Linked DNA regions of Lonchura striata. The protein of the gene in region 1 interacts with the protein of each later gene in a pairwise test. Links are inferred from orthologs where the notes say so. Each region holds a gene or a part of one and is shown on either strand. Other genes may lie near its edges.

Region 1 (7,291 bases):
CATTACCTACAACCCTGGTGATGGTTTAGTTTTTATTACTGACTTCTCTATTTCTCCCCCTCACCCTCCCTCAAAATTCTGCTGCTCAAAATGTCTGCACTCACAGCTTCCTCATTTCTGCAGGTCCTCCCCTGCCATGTGCAGCACATCCCAGTACCACCAGCATTACTGGGAGCTCCAGCCATGCCTCACTACTCCGAGCTTCCAGCAATGAGACTGACCTACAGTCAACATGATACAAATGAAGGTATTACAGCACATATATATCAATATATAGGTCTGTCCAAGACCCTAAGGAACTTTGGGACTCATTTCAATCAGCATGCCTTTGAGTTACATTTGAAAATTACACCAACATTGCCAAGATTAAGTCTTAGAGAAAAAGGCAGTCTGGGCTTTTTCAGCTTTATTTGTAATTGCTCTTACATTACCAACTTACCAGGAAATTGCACAACACCACACCAACACAGGTGCAAGTCCTTTAGTGGTAAGAAAGCTGCTGGAGATCACCAGACTCAGGAATTTTCATTGACTACGTGGTGTACACCTGCTCTGAGTTAGACATTGCAATGCTACAGTGGCAGAAGCTGTTGCAGAGACACACACTGCCCTCATCAGCCTCATGATCCCTCATGAACGCTGGGCTCAAGTGCTGGCAGATGGTGTTACAGAACAGAGATTTTACTTGCTTGAGAAGGTGAACTGCAAAGCCAAACTCAGAAATTTCTCTGCCTAACGAGGAGGTTGCAATTAGGTCATTGCTGAGCGCTGGGTAACCACAGATCAGAACAAAAACATTCCCACAGAATAACTCAGATGTGACAGCAGGTACTTGGAATGAGAACAAGGACTTCATCCACGTAGTCCTGCTGCTGAATTATGTGGATAAACAGTGATCCTGATGTAGCCAGCCCTCAGCAGCACACGCAGGTGTCGGGACACACAGACCCAGCTTAGCACAAGCAAACAAAATTCCCAAACAGGAAAGCCCATGTCCAACTTTGATGAAACTTGACAAAGAGCTCAGAGCAAGTTTCAGGTCAGAATTCTATTTAGGATGTAGATAAACTGGATCCAGGCCATAACCTTTTTCTATATCTTCTAGACTCCAGTTTGAGCAATGCTCTTATTTCTGAACCCTATTTCTACTAAAATACTCCATCAGTTCTATGCCCAACCCTGCTCAGCTCAGGCTGGATATTTTGGTGAACACAAGACCTTTGCTTGAACACCAGGGAGCTTCAATAGAACACTCTCCAGGCTGCTTTTGGTCACTGAGACTCCCTCCCTTGGATCCTGCACATGGAATTACCTGTCCTTGGGGCAGACAGGTCAGGAGAGGGGAGATTTGTGGGTTAATGGGATACTGTTCTGATCAGGGAGATTAGGTTACAAGGCCATGCCTTGTAACACACTGCCTTCTTCAGTGTGGCACTTCAGTTTACAACTGGGGATTTCTCCTTTCTTAGACTGAACTTTTAATTATTTATGGGCCTATATTATATGCAGAAGCTGCCCAAAACCTAAGCCTTAATAAGGATAATCAGAATAATCATATTTTTCCCTCTTTTGTAAAGCACCTTGAGCCTTGCTGATGAGAAATGCTAGGATGTGATTAGATGCTTAATGAAAAATTATCATTAGAAAGTGGAATAAAACCGAAAAATTAACTAAAATGGAATTTTCTATTTTATACTGCATTGGGGCTGAGAAAATCATTTATCAGAGGCAATGCTGAAAATTTTAACTTGAAAACTGAGTGGAGATCTTCTTTATGCATGCTATGATGGGAGAGGGCAGGTGAGGATGCCAGAGTCGGGGCCTGGGTGTTGTGAGAAGTCTGAACAGTCCCCAGGAGCCTGAAATTTGGGAGTGCTGGGCTGTGCCACCATGTGCAGCCAGCCCTTGGCTGGTGCCAGCACCGAGACCAGCAGCTGGTGTTCAGCATCACCCCAACTCCTGTGTCCACCACAGCTCCTCCACAGTGACCATTTGGCTTCCCAGCCCTCACCCTGCCCAAAAAGTATCCGGGAACGGAGACGATGGGGTTTGAGCTGCTCAGACCATGCGGTGGAAGTCACGGTGAATATTTATGGCCCTGCCTCACTCTGTGAATGAAATGCACAATAACCGCAGCAGCGGAACGGCCGAACCAAGGCACGCATGCAAGCTTTTAACCCTTTGGGGATTATCACCCTCCAAATTCTCTCTCTCGAAGATCAAAGCGGGAGGATTTGGAGACGCTTCTGTTAAATTCGGAGCCGGGGCAGGTGCGGGCGAGCTCCTGCAGGTGGCTGGGGCCGGCGGGAGGAGAAGGCAGAGCAGGGACCATCCCTGGCGGCTGGGGCAGAGCCTGCGGCCAAAGAACACCCCGGCAGCACCTGGAGCTGACAAAGGAGCCGGGCAGGGGAGCAGGGCCGGCTCCCACCCACACAGCCCCGGCAGCCCCCGAGCCGCCCCACGCCCAGCCCTCCCCGCAGCCACCAACAGCGCCGGGGAAGGAGGAGATGCCCGTGAGGGAACACCCGGCAGCCCTGCCCCGCCTCGGGGGCCCGTTCGGGCGGTGCCCGAGGGGACAGCGCCGGCCTTTCCCGCGCCCTCACCGCGCCTCGCCCTTACCCCGCGGGCGCCGGGCCCCGCGGCCGCCCGCACATCCATGGCGGCCGCGCCACGCCGGGCAGCTCCGGCCAGGGCCCCGCCGGTGCCGCGGGCAACTTTCAGCAGGCGGCTGCAACTACGGCGCCCGGCATCCCCCGGCGGGCCGGCGAGCGGTGCCGGCCGGGAGCTGTAGTTCCGCACGGGCGGGGGAGCCGGGCAGCCGCCTCGGCCCGGGGGAATCGCGGCTCCAGCGGGGCTGGGAAAGACCCTGAGAGCAGCGAGCCCAGCCTGTGAGAGCCCCACCTGGTCAGAGCGCTGGGTGCCACGTCCGGCCGTCCCCTGGAGAGCGCCAGGGATGGGGAGCTCGCCTCCCTGAGCAGCGCTTTCCAATGTTTAACGACCTTTTCCGTGACGAAATTCTTCCCGATATCCAACCTGAACCTCCCATGCTCTATCACTGCTTGCTTGGGAGCAGAGGACGACACACACCCTCCTGTCAGGAGCTGTTCAGAGCCACAAGGTCCCCCCTGAGCCTCCTTTTCTCCAGGCTGAGCCCCTTCCCAGCTCCCTCAGCCTCTGCTGGTGCTCCAGCCCCTTCCCAGCTCCATTCCCTTCCCTGGACATGCTCCAGCCCCTCCAGGTCCTTTCTTAAGTGAAAGGCCCAGACTGCCCCCAGCACTGGAGTGGCCTCACCAGTGCCCAGCCAGGGGACAGTCACTGTCCTGGTCCTGCTGGCCACACCATGGCTGGGACGGGCCAGGTGCCATTGACCTCTTGCCCACCTGGCACGCCTGGCTCCTGTTGAGCTGATGATGGCCAGCACCCCCAGGGCCTTTCCCACCAGGCAATTTCCACTTCCCAGTCTGCAGTGTTCCATGGGGTTGGTGTGTCCAAAGGATTTAAGTTCTTTACTTTTAATTTCACCTGGCTCTTAGTATCAGCCCCTTAAACCTGCTGTATGTATTAACTTCATTACATCATGGGCTTTCTGCAACAGCTTTGCTTCTAATCTTTCTTCCACAATGTTTCCGACAGGGATGATTTCTTGCCCCAGAAACTCTCAATAAAAGCAAGAAAAATGTAAAAGCTGACCTATCAAAGAAGTATTAGCAGGCAAAACTTAAAAGAAAGGCCCTGGAAAATCTGTCACTGAAATACTCAGCTGCTGGCCATCAAGTGTTCAGCTCATATGGTCTCATGTTTATGTGTTTCATCCATTTTTATTTACAATTTATTTTTATTTAAAGCTGAGTATCTCTCTGGCCCTACCGTGCCATGGTTCCTGTGTTGAACACAACAGTGCACAGAACAAGCCGTGTGGAAACAAAAGGATATTTTAGAGATGTAAGCAGGGAACATCCAAAGTCAGGTGGAAAAATGGTTTTAAGCAGAGACATCTGTGTGTACAGAGCATCATTACTGCTTGCTGTATTTAACTACAGATAGCTTTGTTTTGTTGCTTTTGATGGAGAGAGAAAAAAGCCAGCAGAAGTAGTGGCCACACACCAATCTTCCACAGTAAACACCCAGAAAGGAGGGCTGGGGGGAAAGTCTGTTATTGCTCCATGGGAGTCTAGCAGCACAGGGGCACAAGAGTGACACAAAAATGGGCTGTGCTGTCACGAGGTCTTGTTTTCCAGAGCCAGACAACGAGGATCTGTTACAAGACATGGTGGAATGTTTGTTTTTGTAGTACTGGATTTCCAAAATCCATGGTCTTTTTGTGGCTGACAAGCCCCCTCCTTTCTTTGCCACGTTCCTGCAGCTGTCGGAGGTCTGCACCCCTGCCTGGAAAACATGAGCACAGCACAGCAAAAATGTGCATCATTCATGTGCCATCAGACAATGCTTGGGAGAGTTACAAAGGAGGGGAGGAAGAGGAGAAGGAGACCACAGTGCTGCAGTAATTTGCATTGTTTCTACTTTGTTTGCAACAGTCACTTTTAGCTTTAAACTCTAATAGCTATAGATTTCATAGCAGCTTTACCACACTTCAGCATTATTGGATTTTAATTCACACCCCCCACCATGACCAGGTAAAATTTGGCAGCATATCTGGTCTAACACATACATGTTTGGGTAATATTTCATATATAGAAATTAACTGAAAAGTAGAATCTGTGTTGTGACCTGCTGCGTACCTCATGGACTCCCTCTGTGGTTCATCCTTAATACTTTGTGCTGTGCAGAACCTCCTGGGAGCACCACTGCTGGGATTTCACTGGGAATCAGACCAGGCCATGGCTGCCCCACACCACTCACTTTTCCTGGACCCACCAGCAGTTCAGCTGGAGCAGTGCCTCTCCTCAGAGCAGAGCTGTGACTGCTGCCATAAGCCAAAGCCAAGGCCAGGCTGAGGCTGGAGAAGTCCCAGGTTTGGTTCTGTGCTCACATTTGGGCCCTGCAGCCAGCACAGGGCAGCCTACAGCTCCAGGCACTGGAACAACCTTGCTGGGCCTTCACTGACAGCATCTGCAATTCTGCCACGTGCTGAAGGCACACACAAACCTCAAGTGTTTGTGCAGATTTACCATTCTACTTTCAGTGCTTTTAGGACCACAAACTGGAACAAAGGCACAATGCAATTGTCAGGGACTTCATTTTTACCTGTCTCAGTCTTCAAAATTCCCCCTGTATTGACATGAAATATAGTAGTTGCCCACTATGAAGCAAGTTCTCCAGATGATAAGCAGTTCAACTTGCATTTTTGTTACTTTACTTGCACATTCAAAATTTCATCTTACTTTATTATGAGGGGCATTGAAGTTTTAACACCCAGCACATCTGTGGCAATTTACTTCCTTACCAATGAAGTTCACTTTGATGATGACTTGGTGCTTATAATGACCACTGGACAACCACAAAATGAGATTTAGAAATACTATAATTAGAGCAAATAGGAAAAATAGCTCAGATTCCAGATGCTAGAAGATATTTTAATGAAGTCCATTCTAAAAATCTGAAATAAGGACAACATACAAACTGGGAGCACTTGAAATATGTTTATTCAGCAGCTATTACAACCAACCTCCAAAAAACTGGAGTCCCCTCTGGTTTTTGAACCGTGTCAAGTGATGAAAATGCCTCTAGGATGGAAGCTGGACAGTGCACTCCTTTCTGAGATATACATCTAACAGGGATTAAACTCTTTGAAAAGGCAAAATATAAATATATACACTCTAAATTCACAACAACAGCTTGAACTCACTACGTTAATTCAAGTGGGGTAACAGTGGACAAACCCACATCATGTAAACTGCAGTCAGGAAAATCTCTGCTCTCTCTGCTCCAAGGTCCCGTTCCGGTTTACATTCTGGGATCTGCCTCTGGCAGAGCTGGAATACGGAAGCGCTGAAGTGCTGGATCTCAGGGGCTGTGCACGGGACCGGGCGTGGGGCTCTGCTCTCTACACATTGCTCAAGGCATCCACACCAGGGAGAACCTTACCTGGGGGCAGATAAAACACAGCAGCAGGGTTAAGGATCTCTGCTCAAACAACTTTACATTTAAAGAGATATAATTTTAAAAAGTGAATCAGGAATTACAGGTTGAAAATGGAAGAGTTTGGCTTCACATTGACCATGGAGGTTCCATGGACCAGCTCCACACAATAAATCCATCTGGAGCACAGCTGCACTCAGATGTCAGCAGAGAGATTCCTAACACAGCCCAGCCATCAACTTCATTTAACAATAATGGCACATTTCTGTGCAAGTCTCTGCTAGGGCCAGATCCAAACACCAAACATTCTTTTCCATTAAGTTTGATGGCAAACAGATTTTTGATTTGATTTAGCCAGTTGCTGCATACTTTCTTAAGTCCCTAGTGGCATGTAAATAGAATTCTAGGGAGTGTGGTAGAAATTTTAAGAATTAATTAAGAGAAAAAGTCTCCTAAGAGTCCCAGGTCTTTAAACAACTAAAACACTCAGGTTGAGACATTTACATGTCTCTTTCCAACTGATGGAATCAAAGAATAGTCTCATCTTTGAGTACAAGAGCCTAGATTAATACAGTGCAACATTTTCTAAAGCATTTTCAGTGTTTTGTCCTACTTTAATAATGAACAGACACCACTCTGGTTTTGCCTTTCCTCAGAAAAACAACCTTCTAATGCTCAAGCTGTGCAGCAGGACTGAATTTTAACACTGTTCACAACTCACTAGTTTGCTGAGTTTTCAGGGATTTTCCCCCCTTTCTTCATCTTCAGAAGCTTTTCTAATTAGCCAGACTTCCGCTACATTTAAAAGATCACACACACAAACCCATATTTTGGGCCAAAACTTAGACAAGTTTGTGCTTTTGAATACACAGCGTTTCCTTCGAGCCATCTGCATTCTTTCCCTTCCCCATCACTCCCTAGGCAACAGAAACAAAAGCTCTGTCTCCCATCTTACTCCTGCAAACAGCAGCTGCAAGGCAGTTTATTGAAGTTCCTCCTCTCCAGAGGAGTTGACAGCGTTGGATAATTTACACACACTGGGAAACGGCAAATTACCAGAGGAAATGAAAAGTCGTTTAGAGAACAATGGAACTCGTTACAAGAATCCCTTCAATCCTCACCATTTTGAATTCCAAGTACCCTCGTGCAGGCTTGTCGGTGAGCACTAGAGGGCTCCCCAAAACCAAGGGAATTGCAAACGGGAAGAAGAGACTTCTGGCAAGAATTCCAGACTGTTCTGATGAGGCTTCCC
Region 2 (7,645 bases), on another chromosome or scaffold:
CCCCATGCTCATGCAAGGGAAGAGGGAGACAGCCCAAGCTCCTCACTCCTCCTCTCTTTAGATTTGCTGCTTTGGAAGCATCATCTCCAGTGCAGCTCCACAGCAGCACACTGCCACTTCTCCCTCTCTGCCTCAAAATCAAGTCCCTAAACCCAGGAGACTTAAATTGGAAGCTGCACCCAGAGGTTTGCTTGACACCTGGCTATAACCTCAGTTTCTCTCAAGACAGATCACATCAGTCATCAAGCAAGAATTTGCTCCTAAGAGGAGGGACAAGTCTGGGCCAACACCCCAATCCCTCAAAGGCAGAGAGGGGAGAACCTGCTTGTTCCACCAGCTCCACACAGGCTGTAAACAAAAATTATCCAGGAAATTGAAGGGCTCAGCTCTAGAGTCCTTTCCAGAACAGCACAGTGGGAAGGAACCAACCCAGGCTGGTGCTACCAGGGCCAGGCAGCAGAACCATGTTTAAGGTGAGCTCAGACAGGCCTGGGTAAATCCAGTTTGGTTATAAAGTACAGGCCAGGCAGGATGAAACAGTCACCAGCTTCTCATCCAGCTCGTTGGGAGGGAGCAGTAATCATTACTGCCAAGTAATTTTCCTGCAAACCAGCACCAACTCTTCTTGAAAACACAAATTTCAATTATTTCCCATTCTCTGCCCAAGCCTCCTTTACTCCCTGGCTGTTCCCAGACCAGACCTGGCTGCCACCAAAAGATCAGCAGCATTTCCCAGCATTTCCTGTCCCCAGAGTCTTACCTGAGATCGCTTCCACTTGGCCATGTCAGAAACCACATTTATCTCCTTCTTGGGGACCATGAAGCATTGCTGGACAGGAGGAGGCACCTCCTCAGAGGCGCCTGGGAGATGCAAAAAAAGAGGTAAAACAGCAGCACTGGGGAAGGAGAAGTCCTCTATTTTTCTTTCTTAGTAATGAGCTTTATTTCACAGGAGATACAAAGCACACAAATCCATCCCAGCTGGGCTGTAATCTCACCAAGTCCTCCTCACCAATATCCTCCTAAGGACTCTGCAAGCCTTCAGACAGAAGCATTATGTCTGTTTTTATTGTTAAAGATGCATTTTCTATTCAGACAGAGAATAGTGCAGGAGATAACAAAAGCAACATCTAGCCAGTTTAATTATTTCTGTCTAGTGCAAGCCTCAGGTCACGCCGAAACACTGAACTCTCCTTCAAACTAACCCTGCCTTGTTTTTAAGTGTTAAGCCTGACCTTCATTCCTCTAGAAAGGATAATTCCTGCATGGACAAGCTGGAGCAGTGCAATAAATGCAGCCCAGAACCACAGCTCTGGTCCATGTAGCACCTGGACTTGGGGGATGGTGGGACACAGCCTCTTCCAGGTGAAAGCTGTGAAGATCATTTAATTTCAAAGCCCTTTCAGAGCCTAAGATGCAATATTTAATGTAAATGTGAGTTGCTAATGAATTAGAGGGGCTCTTTTCTGCAGCATCCAAACCCAGGGCCCAACCTGCAGAACCAGAAAAGTTCCAGGAGATTTAAAGTAATTTGTATTATGCTCCTGAAAGTGCAACTTTTAATAGGAAGAGGAAATGCAGAGGGCACTGTCAAGGAACCTGGGCACTAATGTCAATTTATTAATTCTGTCAGAGTCACTCAGTTCACCTTTTTCAACTCAGAAAATCTGGAGACACTTATGCAGCACCAGCTGCCCTGAAACACTCCAGCAACTGCTGTCCACAGCCCAGCCAGTACAGGCACTGTCTCCCTAACAAACACCACCAAACACCAACTCCTTAAAATATCATCAGCTGCATTTACATAGAAAACACCACCCAGAAGCAGTGGCAGCCTTTTCCACAATGCTCTCTAGCAGGCAGATCAGATTAAAAGGAAACCAAAGTCCCAGGAACAACACAGAGTCCGCTGTAGATTTGTCATACAACCTTTGACAGTCATTTGACTCTGCCTTTCACATTCCCCATGCCATGAACAAATTCAGCCTCATCTCCTGCCCTGAATATTGCAATGCTCAGTTCATTGCTGCAGAACTTACAGCAAAACTTCCAGGTAGGAGGATGAGAGGAACAACGTGTGATGAATTTAAATTAAAGACGTGTGTATCTCTTCTTTTCAGCACACAACTCACAGCAACTGGCACCACACCAATGGAGCTCTGCTCTTAAGAGTTTATAACATGAAAACAATGAAAACCTCCCAAGCAATGAAGTGAAAAGGCAAACCCCTGATGTGTTCATCAGTACAGGTGACACATAAATCCCAGGGCAGTGTCCTGATGTGGGTGTTTGCCATTAACAGAACTGCTTTCCTCTCTTTGTTTCTCAGCCATCACTGCTTCTGACCCAAACTTTGTGCAATTCCTCTTGGTGAGGAGACCAGGAATACTCCGGGAAGGAAACAGTGAGGGCTGCAGGGGTTACAGCATTCTGGGATGAATACACAGAGTCCAAGCCTGTTAGTGTGATGGAGACGGGAGCCTGGCGGGTCAGCTTTACGACAAGAAGCACTTTGGACTGAGGGGGCACTATCAGGCTCGTGTCACGGTGTGAGGAGGGGGAGTCAAAGGCTTTGCACGAGAACCAGTCACAAAACCGGGCTGGGGGCACAGGGATCCCCGATCCAGAGGCTCAGCCCCGACCACCAACCTCGCCCCGGGGTGGTGCCAAGACTCGGAGGCCGCAGGTCCTTCACACCCTCAGCAAATCCCCCTCCCTCCCCTCCCTGGGCCGGGCGCTGCTGCCACCGCCCCCCGCAACGCGGGCCCGGCGCCCTCGGCCCAGCACCCCCGGAGCGTGGGGCCCTGTACCGCGCTCCCCGGCCCCGAGCACGCCCCTGAGAGGCCCTGAGGGTTCCCAGAGCCCCCCTGGCCGCCCCTCACCTGTCCGCCGCTCGCTCTCTGCCATCTTCCCGCAGCCCGGCCCGGCCGCCCCTCACCTCCCACCTCCGCGCACGCCGAAGCCGCCGGCGGCCATCTTTGAGCAGGGCACGCCGCCCGGCCCTGTCGTTCCTGGGGCCGTCTCACGGCTGAGCGGCCCCTGCCGGCCACCGTCGTGCTCACGCCGCCATGTTTGTGTAGGGCGCGTCCCTCCCTGCCCACACCGGAGAGGGACCGGTGTGCGCGGAGGGCAGCGGAGGGGAGAGAGACAGGACCGCCCTCACCATCTCTGGGAGAAGGCAGCGGAGAAAGGGGGCGCGGCACGGCTCCGCCGCCGGCCGCGGCGCTCCTTCCGCTCAAAGCATCACTCTGCCTTTCCCAAAGATGGCCACGCGGGATTCGCCCCACTCCAAGATGGCGGCGGGGCGGCCCCGCCCCGGAGCGGCGGCGGCGGCGGCCGGGCTGTCCTTGCGGTGGGCCCGGGGAGCGCGGCCATGCTCGCCTTGGTGGCCAGGGCTGCGGTAAGAGCGACACCGGGAGGGGCGGCTCCGCCAGCACCGGCCGGAGACGGGGAGCGAGGTGGCGGTCGAGGGTCGCTACATCGGGCAGGGTCGAGAGCGGGCGGGCGGCGAGCCCGGCTCCGCGCGGGGCCTTTAGCGGGGCAGCGCTGGCGGTCTCGGCGGTGCCGCTGCCCGGTCCGGCCCCAGCCCGGAGCACAGGCCCGGGTCCCGGCCAGGGCCGTGCGGGGAGCGGGCAGGGACCTGCCGAAGTCAGTCCCCAGGCCCGCTGGGTTCCGCCCGTGCCTGGCGGCAGCGTGCGCGGTGGAGCTGTCCGGGACGGAGATGACAGCCCCAGAACTGTCAGGGTTCTCTGGACATTGCCCTGTCCCATTACCCTGTCCAGCGCCCCTGCCAACGCAGGGTCACCTGGGGCAGATGACCCAGGAACGTGTCCAGGTGGGTTTGGAATGCCTCCAGAGAGAGACGTTCCAAACGAGACAAACTCCACACCATCGCTGGGCACGGTGCTCTGCCATCCTCAGTGTAAAAAACTTACTCCTCATGTTGAGGGCAGACTTCTTGTGTTTTAGTTTATACTTCCCCTCCTGTCACTGCACACCACTGAAGAGAGTCTGGCACCACCCTCTTGACGCCCACCTCGATGATATTTATATGGATTGTTCAGATTCCCTGTCAGCCTCCTCTTCATCAGATTAAACAGGATGAACTCACAGTCTCTCACTCGCCTCACATAAGAGATACTCAAGTCCCTTAATTATCTTTATGTCCTCCTCTGGACCCTCTCCACAGTGCCTTGTCTTGTACTGAGCTGTCCAGTTGGGGCTGGACAGCAGGAAGGTGGCTGCTGGACATGGAGGGGCCAGGGAAGCCCAGGCAGATGGCATCGGTGGTTCCCACCGTACCCATCCTGCTGCACACACAGCAGAGCTGTCAGACCCCTGCCAGGCTTGGGAGCTGCTCTTTGCAGTCTCTTCTGGGTCCTGAGAGGAGGAGACAGAGCAGCAGAACAGCAGCTACAGTGTGGATCCACTCACAGTTACTGAGGGACTGGGCAAGACCAGTTGTCTCTGGGCTTAAGGGGCACTCCAGATTGTAATTTAAAAATAAAAGACAAACCTCTGACATCCTGCTACTCAATTCTGTGGCTGTGCTAAGAATCAGCTAGGAAATTCCTTCTGCCCCCCAGCAGGTGGATTTCCTTTCCCACCAGCTTTGCAGGCTCTGGAAAAGGTTCTTTGCTGTGTTGGAACATGGCTCAGCAGTGATGCCAGCCCAGAGGCTGGCCCTGTCTGCACACTCTGCTCCACTGGTGTTCGTTTTCCTGCTGCTTGTGGGGAGTGTTGGGCTGTTCCCTCTGTTTGCTGCCAGCTGCCCCCTCAGCTCTGATCACTGTTCCTTCTCCCACCAAATCTTTGAATTTAACCCCAAACCAAACAAACAGGGGACAGAAAAGAGGGAAGATAACAAATGCATTCCACATTTTAACATACAGTGGCTTCCATGAGTTTGTTTTGGGATTTTCATTGTTACCCCATGGAAAATCAGCTGTTTGTTTGGGATCATCATACTCTATCCAAGCTATGCAAGCCGTGCTTGTCTGCCCCTCAATTCATTAGACAGACACGAAGGAGGTGTTGATATTCCTTGTGACTGCATGGCATTCTCATTGCCCTGCTGTAGAGATATTTTTTGGGGCTTTTTTGAGTTGACAACTCAGAACTCCCCGAAGTCTCAGCTTGCAATAATGACCACATATCATGGGCAGTGAGGGCAGTTGGGGTACTGCCCATGGTGCCACCTCCAGGACATAAACTGAGGTCTCTCCTGCATTATGTCCAGGTATCTCTCCCAACAGCCACAGTAGTTTCGGGGTCCAGACAAAGGGTGAAGGAACAGCATCCCAACTTCTGCCCTAGCTGGAGCCCAGAGCTTGGTCAGAGAGGGGCTCTAGCCAGGTATTGATCAGCTGCCCAGAGGAGCACCTTCAGGGCAGTTGTCGAAATCCAGTGATCTGATAATTCCTGTCCCCTGCGGCTGTGCCAGCCCTTGAGCCCTCTGATCAGAGCAGTCATGTGGTAGTTGGCTAATGAGGTGACGCCCTGCATGGGCAGCACATTGTCAGGTGGAAGAGGAGACCCAAGAGAGGCCGAGGGAGAGCTTTACGGCCTTTTCTGTCCTACCAGCCATGGATAGGAAGCAGAAGCAAGCAGAGAAGGTACAGTATGCCCAAGCTGCTGTGATCAACACCTTTCTTTTCCTCGCAGTCCCATTCTTCTTTTATGCTTCAGTAATTCCTCCCCCTGCTGTTTTTTTCCAAACCTCAGTCTCACAGCTCTTCTCAGGTCCCACAAAGACCCAGCTGCTCAAAAACAGGGCAGTTTCTGGCGGGCCTTTGTCATCTTGTAGATTGAGCTGTTTCTTCTCAGTCCTTAACTGCTGGGAGGAGGTGTGGGGACAGCTATTTTCTCACCGCTTTGGAAGGCAAAGGGAATGTTCTCAGTGGCTTTGCATTCTCAGTGCACTGACAATGCAAAGTCCAGAGTCCTGCAGGAGTGTCTGATTCAGTAGATCCACGGGAGAGGGAGGTGCAGAGGGAACTGGAAACCTTGAGTACTACTGAAACATCTTCAAGCTGAAGAATGTCCAACCCCGTTCATCCAAAAGGATGTTGTTATTCTTTTTGGGGAAAACTGGTGAGTTAATTTCCTGGTGAGCACTTGGGTTTGCTCGGTTATATTTCTCCAGCCAGGGAAGTGGTTTGTGCTTCTGCTCCCACATGACCCAGTTGGATCACAGGAGCCTTTTGGCATCACCCACAGTTTCCTGAATCAACAGAGAAAAGGCATTTTAATCCTACCCTAAACTTAGCTAAATTCTGCCTCCTCAAAGCCAGAAGGGTAGTTTGGTTTGGCACAAGGGTTTTGCTTTTTAGCCTTATGATTTTGTAAGAAATAATGAAAGTTTCTGATAGTACATAAGATGGTTTTTTTTTTCACAACTTTCTTCCCATTTACCATGGGATGGAAGGGTTTGACTTTGTCTATCGTATGGAAACTCTCAGCTGAAAGGTGTTCACAGAGTGGGGAGATGTGTCATTATCCCAGCAGCATTTTCTCTGAGAAGCTAAGAATAGGTATCTTGGAGATGGAGTTTCTCTTTCACAGCTTTCCTGGATGTCCTGCACCCTTCTTCAGCGCACAGCCGTGCTCTGCTCCCAGGCTGGGACACCCATGTGCCCACAGAAAGGCTGGGATGGCAACTCCTAGATCCAGGTTCTTTGCTACTTGGGGGATGTTTTGTCTCGACATTTGCTCTGTGCTTTGCAGGCCAGGCCCTGTGGCCTGCTGAAGCAGACACCTCTGAACAAGGTTGTGGGCAGATTCCAGCTCCACCAGGAAGCGCTGCCCCCCCTGCCCGTGCCTCCACTGCAGCAGACACTGGATCGGTACCTGCTGGCCCTGCAGCCCATCATCAGCCCCGAGGAGCTGAGCCACACGCGGGAGCTGGTGGCCGAGTTCCGCAAGCCGGGGGGCGTCGGGGAGAGGCTGCAGAAAGGCCTGGAGAGAAGAGCCAGGAAAACAGAGAACTGGGTAGGTCAGGGCTCTGGCCCCAGCTCAGGTTAGGGAGAGTGGAGGGCTGATATGCATCTCTTCCCTGTCCTGGCTGCATCCACTGGAATCTGTGTTTTAATGACAACACCTTCCTGACCAGTTCGCCACTGATCTCCCCAAGCTGTGCAAAGGCCTCAGCAGGACTTGGGTGAGCAGAGAGATTATGGCAGAACAGGGAGTCACTGAAGGCTTGAACCTGTCATCATCCTACAACTGCCCCAAGAAGCTGAGCAGAGGGTTGAAGGAGACCCTCTGCTCAAGCCCTGTACCAAAAGCCACCCATGCCTTGCTTAAATCCTCCTTTCCCCTTCTACCTGCATAGTAGAAACCCCAGACACTTTGTTTGAAAAGTGTGGGACAGAACTGGGGGCAGGATGCTGAGACCCATCCACCAGAATTGGGTTGGACAGCAGCAACAGCTCTCTGTTTTCTTTTTTCCATCCCAGCTCTCAGACTGGTGGCTGAAGACAGCTTATCTGGAATATCGCTTGCCAGTTGTGGTCCACTCCAGCCCAGGTGTGGTTTTACCTAAGCAGGATTTTCTGGATCGACAAGGTCAGCTCAGGTAAAATCCTTTTCTACCTTCCCTCCTTCCCTTAGATTATAGGTGGGATGAGTTTTCTGTGTTCAAAAG

The links. The genes of interacting proteins can lie anywhere in the genome.
Region 2: the proteins of AMOT (region 1) and PTPA interact in binary tests that used the Homo sapiens proteins (3 or more experiments, as listed by UniProt). The two-hybrid records come from large-scale screens. The link is inferred for Lonchura striata from reciprocal best matches to the Homo sapiens genes AMOT and PTPA.

The regions. Positions count from the first base shown.
Region 1 is NC_134616.1:17,376,553-17,383,843, reverse strand, and holds the start of AMOT (angiomotin), read right to left. Parts: upstream 3,018-7,291; 5' UTR 2,902-3,017; intron 2,732-2,901; exon of another isoform or gene 2,620-2,731; intron 1-2,619. Other genes in the region: PGK1 (phosphoglycerate kinase 1), read right to left, coding at 6,005-6,045.
Region 2 is NC_134624.1:148,576-156,220, forward strand, and holds the start of PTPA (serine/threonine-protein phosphatase 2A activator), read right to left. Parts: upstream 3,008-7,645; 5' UTR 2,908-3,007; coding exon 2,883-2,907; intron 862-2,882; coding exon 761-861; intron 1-760. Other genes in the region: CRAT (carnitine O-acetyltransferase), read left to right, coding at 5,586-5,615, 6,727-6,990, 7,458-7,576. UniProt on the Homo sapiens protein: PPIases accelerate the folding of proteins. It catalyzes the cis-trans isomerization of proline imidic peptide bonds in oligopeptides. Acts as a regulatory subunit for serine/threonine-protein phosphatase 2A (PP2A).